2 linked regions of the Saccharomyces cerevisiae S288C genome follow. Each later gene encodes a partner of the first gene's protein in a complex. Each region holds a gene or a part of one and is shown on either strand. Other genes may lie near its edges. A codon is read from its position in the direction of its gene.

Region 1 (6,024 bases):
AGGATTATTTCCCAGAAGTTAATGGTATCGTCTTTTTAGTCGATGCTGCTGACCCTGAAAGATTTGATGAAGCACGTGTCGAATTAGATGCTTTATTCAACATTGCCGAATTGAAGGACGTTCCTTTTGTAATTCTTGGTAACAAGATCGATGCTCCAAACGCCGTTTCTGAAGCGGAGCTACGTTCTGCTTTAGGATTATTGAATACCACTGGCTCTCAAAGAATTGAAGGTCAAAGACCAGTTGAAGTTTTCATGTGTTCCGTTGTTATGAGAAATGGTTATTTAGAGGCGTTCCAATGGTTATCTCAATATATTTAATTGACGTATACATCTATACCCTTTATATGACATTCACATGAATTCAACAGCTTTGTAATAATCAACAAAATTGCATAGGATGCCACCTCATAACTTTTGAGCACAGCATTTCCGCGATCATAGTATATTTTAGACTCTAAGATTGAATAAAAGTATGATACATCTTAAGTATACATATATATATGTATATATATATATATACATGAAAGTTTACCTCCTCATCTTACGTGGACGAGATTCATCGTCACCGCCCATAGTTGTTCTTTTACCATTCTGGGCGAAGTATTCTTTCTTTTTCTCCTTATCCCTTTGTGATTTTTCTTCCTCCATCTTAGCTAATTTTTTCAATCTTTCCTTACGTTGACTAGCCTTCTGTTCCTTCCTCTTGCTGTCTTTGGCTTTCGAAATCGTCAATACTTTTTGAATGAATGATCTTGCCTTCTTTTCATCACCACCTAGCACCACGGCTCTTTTAGCCATATATGTTTTCTTCTTTTGTGGTTTCATTTGATGGATCTGAGATTTGAATGGCAATTCCTTTTGAACAGCTTTTGGGACCTTTAGACCATTGAAGTGTCTTTCTACACGTTCTATTTTATGATATGCACTGTCCGGATTCGACGGTGTTTCCAGGTTCATAGCCGCTCTTATTTGGCCTGTCAATCTTAAACCTTTCCACTCGGTTTTTTCCTTCAACAATAGTGAGGTAACAGGATTATAGAATTTCTTGACGCGGACAGGATACCATGATCTTAGAATTACAATATCACTCATTAGGATTTTATCCTCAAAGGCTGCCCTATAGTGACCCTCAGGCTTTGAAAGTGCCCTTTTGATTTCACCACGGATACCCGAGACAGTTTTGATCTGCGCACCCTCAAACCTTGCAACTTCCATAGCACTTGAAAACATGTCCTTTATAAAGGCAGTATTTTTGAAAATTTTATATGGAAACCCAACTAATTTTAACTTTTTAACAATTTCAATATTAACGTCTATCTCTTCAACGATACCTGTTGCTGCAATTCTAAAACCGTTCCCGGTATCACTATTAGCAACAATTTGAACACCACAAAAAGGTGTGTTTGGAGAACATAAGGGACCGTAGAAAGCCGCATTACAATATGTGTGTTCTGGTGTATACTTTAGCATTCTGGTTCTTGTTCTAGAGTCAGTTGTTGTATAAATTGGTAAAGTTTGGAACCTTCTCCAACCCAAAGACAAGACCAGTGGGTCATTTGTCTTCAAAATCTTCTTATGCCAACGATGTCTTCTCAACCTGGCTTTGACAATACCGAACTTTATTTCGGTCGGCAATAAACCACCCATAACAATTGGAAATTTTGGATTGAAATTCTTGACAAATTCCATTGGGACTTTTTCGAAAACGATACGTACATAAGAACCAGCTTTGAAACCTTCGATTCTTTGACGTTGTTCTGGAGTCATTTCTTGATATTCTATATTGTTAATTTCTAACTGTTTAGATATCTTGGCCTTCTGTAGTTCATACCATGTATCATATTCATTGTTTTCATCATCTTCTTTAAAGTTTTCACCTTCTTCTATCTCGAATTGTGCACGTAGTTTTTCCTTCTTTGCAGCATTCATTTCTCTTTCTTGCTCCATGGTTAAGTCCTTTTTTTCCTCCGCATCAAAATTAGTGAATGAATTATCATCATCTCCATTAGTGTCTTCGTTTTCATCCTCATCCTCACTTTCTTTGTCACTATTGTCTTCTGCTTGTTCAGAAGGGTTTCCATCTTCTAGATCTTCAAAATCGCCGTATAGTTCTTCCCCACCTTCATTAGAGTCACTTTTCGTTTTATTATCATTACCTAAAATGCCTGCGCCGAGGAATCGCTCTTTGATTGCATCAACGCTTTTCCATTTTTTAGCCAATTTTTCGAAAGTGTCGAAATATGGAACAAACTTTTCCAAATCAACTGCATGGTCTTTATTGCCCTCTTTTGTAACAGTACCATCTTTTTTCCTGAAGAAGTCATCATCAACATCTTCTTCAATGTCACTTTCGTCTTTACTATCGTCGTCCTCGCCCCTCCACCTTCTTATACATTCTTCAGGTGAAATGTTGTCCATGTATATCAGCTTACCGATATTCCAGGTCCTTTTCTTACTTTCAGTTTTCTTCAGCTTGTTTGCCGCTGTTCTTTCCCAGGAAAACTCATCTTCACTCTCTTCAAATTCAGAATCTGTTTCCAAAGCTAATTTTTCGGCACCCTGCTCACCGGTATTATTGAAATCGATTTCAACCATCCTTGGTTCGGAGTCCTGCACGTCGTCATCATTTGTATAAGGTTCTTCATCACTCGGTAAATTATCAATATCTGCGTCTTCTTCTTGAACTGGCTTACCATAAATTCTTGGTTTTCTTAAACTGGTTCTTCCCTTGCTCTTTCCTTCATCGTCCTCAATACTTTCTTCTCCACTTTCAACATCCATGCCTTCATGATCGGCAACTTCATGAAGCTCAGTGCCGTTGCTAAACAATTGCAAACCCACACCATCAAATTTCTCTGCAATACTTTGTTCAACACTTTGTAAACCCGTCATGAGTTTTTCTCCTTCACCTCTTTCTTGGCCGGGAACAAAACTTGGCTCTTCATTTTTCTTTCCAATATCAATATAAACAGCATCCTTATCCATCAACACACCTCCGACATCGGACATTGGAGCATATATCAATTTATCTTTATCATCTAACCTTTTACGTCTTCTTGTCGTAGAGGCAGTTGTAATTTCTCCGTTAGCCTTTGCCTCTTCTTTCATTTTTTCACGTTCAAAATCATCCAGTTTCTGTTGGTAAAAAGGTGTGGGACATGGATCTGGTAATTTTTCAATTTGTGCTACTGAGAAATCACCAACACCAGCAATATGCACCCTAGTGCCCGGAGCAGAAGGCAAAGGAGTACCGTGCAAATAACCATAGATAGCGACTTTGCGGTCGATTTGCAGTCCTTGAGTCTCTATTAATTCCGGATGAGTTAAATCTGTGAATCTGTCAGCCAACATATAGGGATGTTCGTTCCTCCATTTTAATGGTCTGAATTTCATAACAGATATAAATCGTGAAAGGTTTAAAATCTCTCTATCAGGATACCTTCCATTAATCACACCAGATAGGTAAAATAATTTTGCACCTTGATAAACTTCCGTCCAGAATCTGTGCTTTAATCTTTTCTTAGAAGCTCTCAAAGTTGACTGAGATTTAAACAGATCAAGATGTGTAGCTACACCAAGTACTCTTGGCATACCGTGATGTTGAGCAATATTTAAGAATTCCATTGTTTCCATTTCAAAACCGAAATTACCGTCAATTAGTAAAAGAACCAAGTCGGCAATCTTAGCAATATCAATCATCGCATTCAGATCGTCCGCAGGGCACTCCAAAAAAGTTAGTCTTCTATGTTTACCAGAGACAACAGTAATAGGACCTTGAATATCATTCAAAGTGCTTTTTGTCATTCTCCTGACGAGGGACCGAATCAAAGTAGTCTTTCCTGTTCCAGGTGGACCCACGACAGCGACGATAAATGGAGGCGGATCATCTTCAGGGGTACGATCAACCATAGGAACATGCAGTTTTCTTTCGTTCACATCACTTGACCTTTGCATAGTTCTCGCCATCTTACCTGGGGCTGCCACGGCAAAGGCCTTTGCATTATGACCCTGCGTATGGAGCTTCTTTTTTGCTGTATTCTTCTCCTTCGCCTTACGGTGCTGTTTATTAGACTGCTCCATCGTTTCAGATAACTCAGATGGCTGATTAAAGGCTACTATTATGTGATATTTTTACCTTAACAGCGCAAATACTTTCCTTAATTTTGAAGCTTCACTTCAGCTCATCGCCTTGAAAATTTTTCATTTGTACGGACATTAAACTTAGGCGATAACAAAAAAAAAACTTCATCTAGATAATCTCAACTTTGAAATTACAGAAATATTTACAACAGTAGTACGAGTATCTGCACTATGGCTCACATGTCCTTAAAATAATCTAAGCTTACCTATCTGATATTTGTTTTGATATTGTTTAGGACCAGCAGTTTCTGAGAGTTTAGCAAATGCACCTTTACAGCTATCCTCAACTTTTGGAAGAGAAAGTGACAAGATATGTAACAATACTTGCATGAATCGACATTTGTTTACTTTGGTCCATTTTGTATATGATAGTGTGATTTAGCGATATGGAATTATGTGTATTTTTCTATTTGTTGTCATTTCAATATGGGATGACTTGTTTTCTTGTAACGCGCCACTTCAATAGTAAACATTATGAACCTGATAAATGTTAGCAGACTTAGTAAGAGAGACAATCATTTTCATTCAGTAAAAATCGCAATCCCTAGTTTGGCTCTTCTTCTAGCCGTACTTTAAATTCAAAGCAAAAATGGTTCTGCTTAACAGAAGGAAAATACAACCTAAGGAAATAGGACAGTCTGCTGATTCCTTCTCTGAAACTCCATGGGTGATTAAAGAAAGTAGCGAGCGTATAAATGATTATGACAGTGATTTAAAAAAGCTAGATTTTTACAAAAGGGATATATTCACCTGTGAGATTAGTGGAAAAGATGGCCTTTCGTATTTCAAGGCGTTAAAAAGCGAAGAACAGCACCGTGAAAAGGTCAGATATCTTTTACCAAAAGAACTAAGGAAGGCTATAGCAAATTTCGCAAACTTCAGTCCGATAAGGAAGGTAGGACACCTTGTAGAAAGCGCATTTCAGCGTTTTAGTAACCGTTTCTTTATAGGCGATACGGTGTGCTTGAAAACTATCCAAAAAAATGCATTGATTACCTATAAAGAAGGAGAGCCTAACTTGGTAGAATCACCAACTATTGAAAACAATGTCACGTTGTTCCTTGTCAAGGATGTGTTTCAATCTAACGGGATGATGGAAAGTGAAAAGGGAGAAATTTCTGCCCCAAAATTGTCACTGTATTTAATCACAGAATGCCTGAATCGAGAATCTAAAGGTGCGGCCCTAATTGTAGGCCAGAATGAAATTAAAAGGCCAGAATCACACTTTTCTAAATTCATAATTGCGTGTTTTCTTAATGAAATACTCATAAAAGTATCGAATAAGGAGCACGCACCATGGAGGGTGAAACAAGAATATATAGAAAGATATGATGTAAACCCTAAATGCTCTCCTAATATGATTGATTATTTGCCGGATAGAATGAACTCATCTTCTTCCGAGCTTTACACTCCTCTTACTATACCACCAGAGAGCGATGTTGAACCTGCTGACTGGAAGGAAACGTCGGAAACGTCGGAAACGTCGGAAACGTCACTATCTAAAATAAAAGCAATTGACGACGAGATTTCAGTCTCATTTGACCACATTTACGATAATGTGAACTCCCTTGCCTACAATGATTTGAAGGGAACCGTCGACGACAAGGAGCTTCCATTCACTGGGCCTTCGATACCATTTGAAAATATCAGCTACTTAGATAGCTCCTTAGAATATAAGAATATCGATCAAAAATGGTTCAAAGAGTGCAGTCAATTTCCAACGGAACGACTATTGGTTGTTTATCAATTCCTGAGCTTTTTTGGACGTTTTATTGGTCTATCACATTTTAATTTTGATCAGTTCCTTACTACTATCAAGTGTACTAGTCCGGAGGCTTTAGTAGATGAATATGTCAAAATAAACTTTCTTAAAACTTACAAC
Region 2 (3,670 bases), on another chromosome or scaffold:
ATAATATGCAGAACGACGATTCTATTTGGGATTTGTCAGATTCTATTGTTACCCCCGGCGGCATTAATATATTCAAAACAGCCAAAAGGTGGGATCATATCTCTAATGCTGTCGAATCTAAGCAGAACGCCGATTACAATACTTCTTTGGCCGATATTTGGGGCAGAGCCTTGGCGTATAATTTTTTCCCTTCTCTAAATAGAGGGGGTATAGGCCTGACTTGGTCTTCCATTAGGGATTTCCCAGTGTTTCAAAATGCTGAAATGCCTTTTCCAATTTCTGTTGCGGACGGTAGGTATCCTGGAACAAAAGTCATCAATTTGAACGCAACGGTTTTTGAATTTAATCCCTTTGAAATGGGATCCTGGGATCCCTCTTTGAACTCTTTTGCCAACGTTAAGTACCTTGGAACGAATGTCTCCAATGGTGTACCATTGGAAAGGGGAAAATGTACCGCAGGCTTTGATAATGCAGGTTTTATCATGGGTACTTCCTCCACCTTATTTAACCAGTTTCTTTTGAGAATAAACTCCACTCACTTACCTAGTTTCATCACAAGATTAGCAAGACATTTTCTAAAGGATTTATCTCAAGATTTTAATGATATCGCTGTTTACAGTCCTAATCCATTTAAAGACACGAAGTTTTTGGATAGTGACTATACGACAAGTATTGTTGATTCAGACAGCCTATTCTTAGTTGACGGCGGTGAAGACGACGAAAATGTTCCTGTGTTACCGCTTATACAAAAGGAACGTGATGTGGACATTATTTTTGCGGTAGATAATTCTGCCGATATGAGATTGGCTTGGCCTGACGGTTCTTCTTTAGTCCATACCTATGAGCGTCAATTCGTTAAGCAAGGTCAAGGTATGTCCTTCCCATATGTTCCAGATACGAATACATTCGTTAATTTGGGTTTGAACAAGAAACCAACCTTCTTCGGTTGCGATGCTAATAATTTGACCGATCTTCAATATATTCCACCTCTAGTTGTTTATCTGCCAAATGCAGAATACTCTTTCAATAGTAATCAGAGCGCGTTCAAGCTATCATATTCCGAATCCCAAAGAAGAAGTATGATTCAAAACGGGTTTGAAATTGCAACTAGGAACAACTTCACTGATGATCCTGAATTCATGGGCTGCGTCGGCTGCGCCATCATTAGACGTAAGCAACAAGCTTTGAATATTACTTTGCCTCCGGAATGTGAAACCTGTTTTAAAAATTATTGCTGGAATGGTACCCTGGATACTACCCCATTACCAGATGTTGAAAAGGATGTTCACCACTCCTTTATCAACGTCAATAGCTTCAACAGCTCCATAGGACAAGAAGAAAGTCTTTACGCCGGATCTTCAGCTTCCCAGTCATCGTCTTCATCATCGTCTTCATCTTCGTCTTCGGAAATTCCTTCGGCTACTGCAACCCTTGAGAAAAAGGCAGCTACTAATTCTGGATCACATTTATCTGGCATAAGTGTAAAGTTCTCTGCTATGATTATGCTTACTTTATTGATGTTTACCGGAGCAGTATAATATCTCTTGCGTAATAACGGTATACAAAATGAGGCAATAAAAATCAAAGAACTACACTATAAAATAACGAAACATAAAGCTGAAAGACTAGCAAAATCACTAAAAAACTAAAATAAAAAAAGAAAATGAGCATTTCCCCTTTGCATTGAAGTATCATCCCTTTCGGGCAAGACCATGTTTAAGGAACTTCACTAATGACATCGGAGGTCTATATATAGCAGACCTCTTCTTTAAAAGATATAACTTTATAATTATAACCCCGCGCAAAGCGTATTAATACTTTAAATGGGTAGTCAAGTTGCTTTTATTACTTGCACTTACTTTGAAGGAGGATGTCAGAATTACCCTCGCCATATTGGTAATGTAATTTTTCACGGACTCGAGATTGAAAAAATTTCAGAAAAATTTGCAAAAAAGTGCCGATGAGATGAGCCTTCATAAGCTACGTATGTTGTAAGGGTATAACATCTGTCAAGCTTCACCATTGTCAACACTTTTCCACTAGGATAATCCTCCAAAAGTATAGCAATGTCATCTTCCGCCCCCAAATACACCACTTTCCAAGGGTCACAAAATTTTAGGTTACGGATCGTCTTGGCAACATTATCAGGGAAACCAATAAAAATTGAAAAAATCCGTTCAGGCGACTTAAATCCCGGTCTGAAAGATTATGAAGTGTCTTTTCTAAGGCTGATCGAGTCGGTCACCAACGGGAGTGTAATTGAAATTTCTTATACCGGTACTACTGTGATTTATAGGCCCGGTATCATAGTTGGTGGTGCATCAACTCATATCTGCCCTAGTTCCAAACCGGTAGGTTATTTCGTCGAACCAATGCTATATTTGGCTCCATTTTCAAAAAAGAAATTTTCTATATTATTCAAAGGCATAACTGCATCTCACAACGATGCCGGTATTGAAGCTATCAAATGGGGACTCATGCCCGTTATGGAAAAATTTGGCGTTAGAGAGTGCGCCCTACATACTTTGAAAAGAGGTTCACCACCACTAGGAGGTGGCGAAGTGCATTTGGTTGTTGATTCTTTGATTGCGCAACCTATAACTATGCATGAAATAGATAGGCCCATAATTTCATCGATTACCGGTGTAGCATACTCTACCAGAGTAAGTCCGTCGCTTGTGAATAGAATGATCGATGGTGCTAAGAAGGTATTGAAAAATCTGCAATGCGAAGTTAACATAACGGCAGATGTCTGGAGAGGTGAAAATTCAGGGAAGAGTCCAGGCTGGGGTATTACTTTGGTTGCTCAGTCCAAGCAGAAAGGTTGGAGTTATTTTGCAGAAGATATCGGTGATGCAGGTTCTATACCTGAAGAACTTGGTGAAAAAGTTGCCTGTCAATTATTAGAAGAAATATCAAAGAGTGCAGCAGTTGGTAGAAACCAGCTTCCATTAGCAATTGTTTACATGGTCATCGGGAAAGAAGATATCGGCAGATTGAGAATTAATAAGGAACAGATAGACGAAAGATTCATAATCCTCTTGAGAGATATTAAGAAGATCTTTAATACTGAAGTCTTTTTAAAACCAGTTGACGAGGCGGATAATGAAGACATGATAGCTACTATCAAGGGTATTGGTTTCACAAACACAAGCAAAAAGATTGCATAGCATGTTCTAATATTATTCAATAGATATTAGACCACTGTATATAAGTTATATATATATATATGATTATTTAGGTGTAACTTCACGGACAACTGTCTAGAGTATAAGATTACTGGAGGATCATTGATGATTTCCTTTAACTCTTTTGGGTCATCTAAAATATCATCAAAGAGCGTATGCGAAAAGCGCGTTAAGAATAGATTACTTCATGACAAAATATAATTTTCCAGCTCAAAAATGTTTGTTTTTTTATGTAGACACTATTTTCAAACTATCTTTGTTAAATTACTCATCACCATCGTTGAAATCCAGATTAATCCAACTTGGCCATGCTAACTCCTTTCTTAAAAAATCTTTGAATATCGTAAACAAAAACTGTTCTAGTTCTCCAACACTTCTTAATACTGAGCCCTGTCCCTGATATTGTTCCCCTATTTCGGTTTCAATCTTCATACTTCTCACAATGGATATTCGCTCCAATGGCTTAGTAGCTGCCAGAATTG

What was found.
Region 2: the proteins of BMS1 (region 1) and RCL1 are in contact, whole or in part, in a crystal structure (PDB 4CLQ), measured with the Saccharomyces cerevisiae proteins. Residues at the interface, in NP_015107.1 of Saccharomyces cerevisiae: Ile549 (codon at 2,438), Gly550 (codon at 2,435), Leu552 (codon at 2,429), Ile553 (codon at 2,426), Tyr554 (codon at 2,423), Met555 (codon at 2,420), Asp556 (codon at 2,417), Ile558 (codon at 2,411), Ser559 (codon at 2,408), Pro560 (codon at 2,405), Glu561 (codon at 2,402), Cys563 (codon at 2,396), Ile564 (codon at 2,393), Trp567 (codon at 2,384), Arg568 (codon at 2,381), Val606 (codon at 2,267), Asp607 (codon at 2,264), Leu608 (codon at 2,261), Glu609 (codon at 2,258), Lys610 (codon at 2,255), Phe611 (codon at 2,252), Val612 (codon at 2,249), Pro613 (codon at 2,246), Tyr614 (codon at 2,243), Phe615 (codon at 2,240), Asp616 (codon at 2,237), Phe618 (codon at 2,231), Leu621 (codon at 2,222), Ala622 (codon at 2,219), Lys624 (codon at 2,213); in NP_014633.1 of Saccharomyces cerevisiae: Ser14 (codon at 2,106), Gln15 (codon at 2,109), Asn16 (codon at 2,112), Phe17 (codon at 2,115), Arg18 (codon at 2,118), Leu19 (codon at 2,121), Glu49 (codon at 2,211), Lys94 (codon at 2,346), Tyr98 (codon at 2,358), Glu101 (codon at 2,367), His125 (codon at 2,439), Asn126 (codon at 2,442), Asp127 (codon at 2,445), Ala128 (codon at 2,448), Ala132 (codon at 2,460), Leu137 (codon at 2,475), Arg185 (codon at 2,619), Pro186 (codon at 2,622), Ile187 (codon at 2,625), Ile188 (codon at 2,628), Ile191 (codon at 2,637), Val215 (codon at 2,709), Asn218 (codon at 2,718), Leu219 (codon at 2,721), Gln220 (codon at 2,724), Cys221 (codon at 2,727), Tyr256 (codon at 2,832), Phe257 (codon at 2,835), Glu259 (codon at 2,841), Glu270 (codon at 2,874).

Annotation. Positions count from the first base shown.
Region 1 is NC_001148.4:139,090-145,113, forward strand, and holds BMS1 (GTPase BMS1), read right to left. Parts: upstream 4,083-6,024; coding exon 531-4,082; downstream 1-530. Other genes in the region: Arf family GTPase SAR1, read left to right, coding at 1-320; YPL216W (uncharacterized protein), read left to right, coding at 4,732-6,024. UniProt on the Saccharomyces cerevisiae protein: GTPase required for synthesis of 40S ribosomal subunits and for processing the 35S pre-rRNA at sites A0, A1, and A2.
Region 2 is NC_001147.6:305,872-309,541, forward strand, and holds RCL1 (rRNA-processing endoribonuclease), read left to right. Parts: upstream 1-2,066; coding exon 2,067-3,170; downstream 3,171-3,670. Other genes in the region: PLB3 (lysophospholipase), read left to right, coding at 1-1,538; ERMES complex subunit MDM12, read right to left, coding at 3,453-3,670. UniProt on the Saccharomyces cerevisiae protein: Does not have cyclase activity. Plays a role in 40S-ribosomal-subunit biogenesis in the early pre-rRNA processing steps at sites A0, A1 and A2 that are required for proper maturation of the 18S RNA. RCL1 activates BMS1 by promoting GDP/GTP exchange.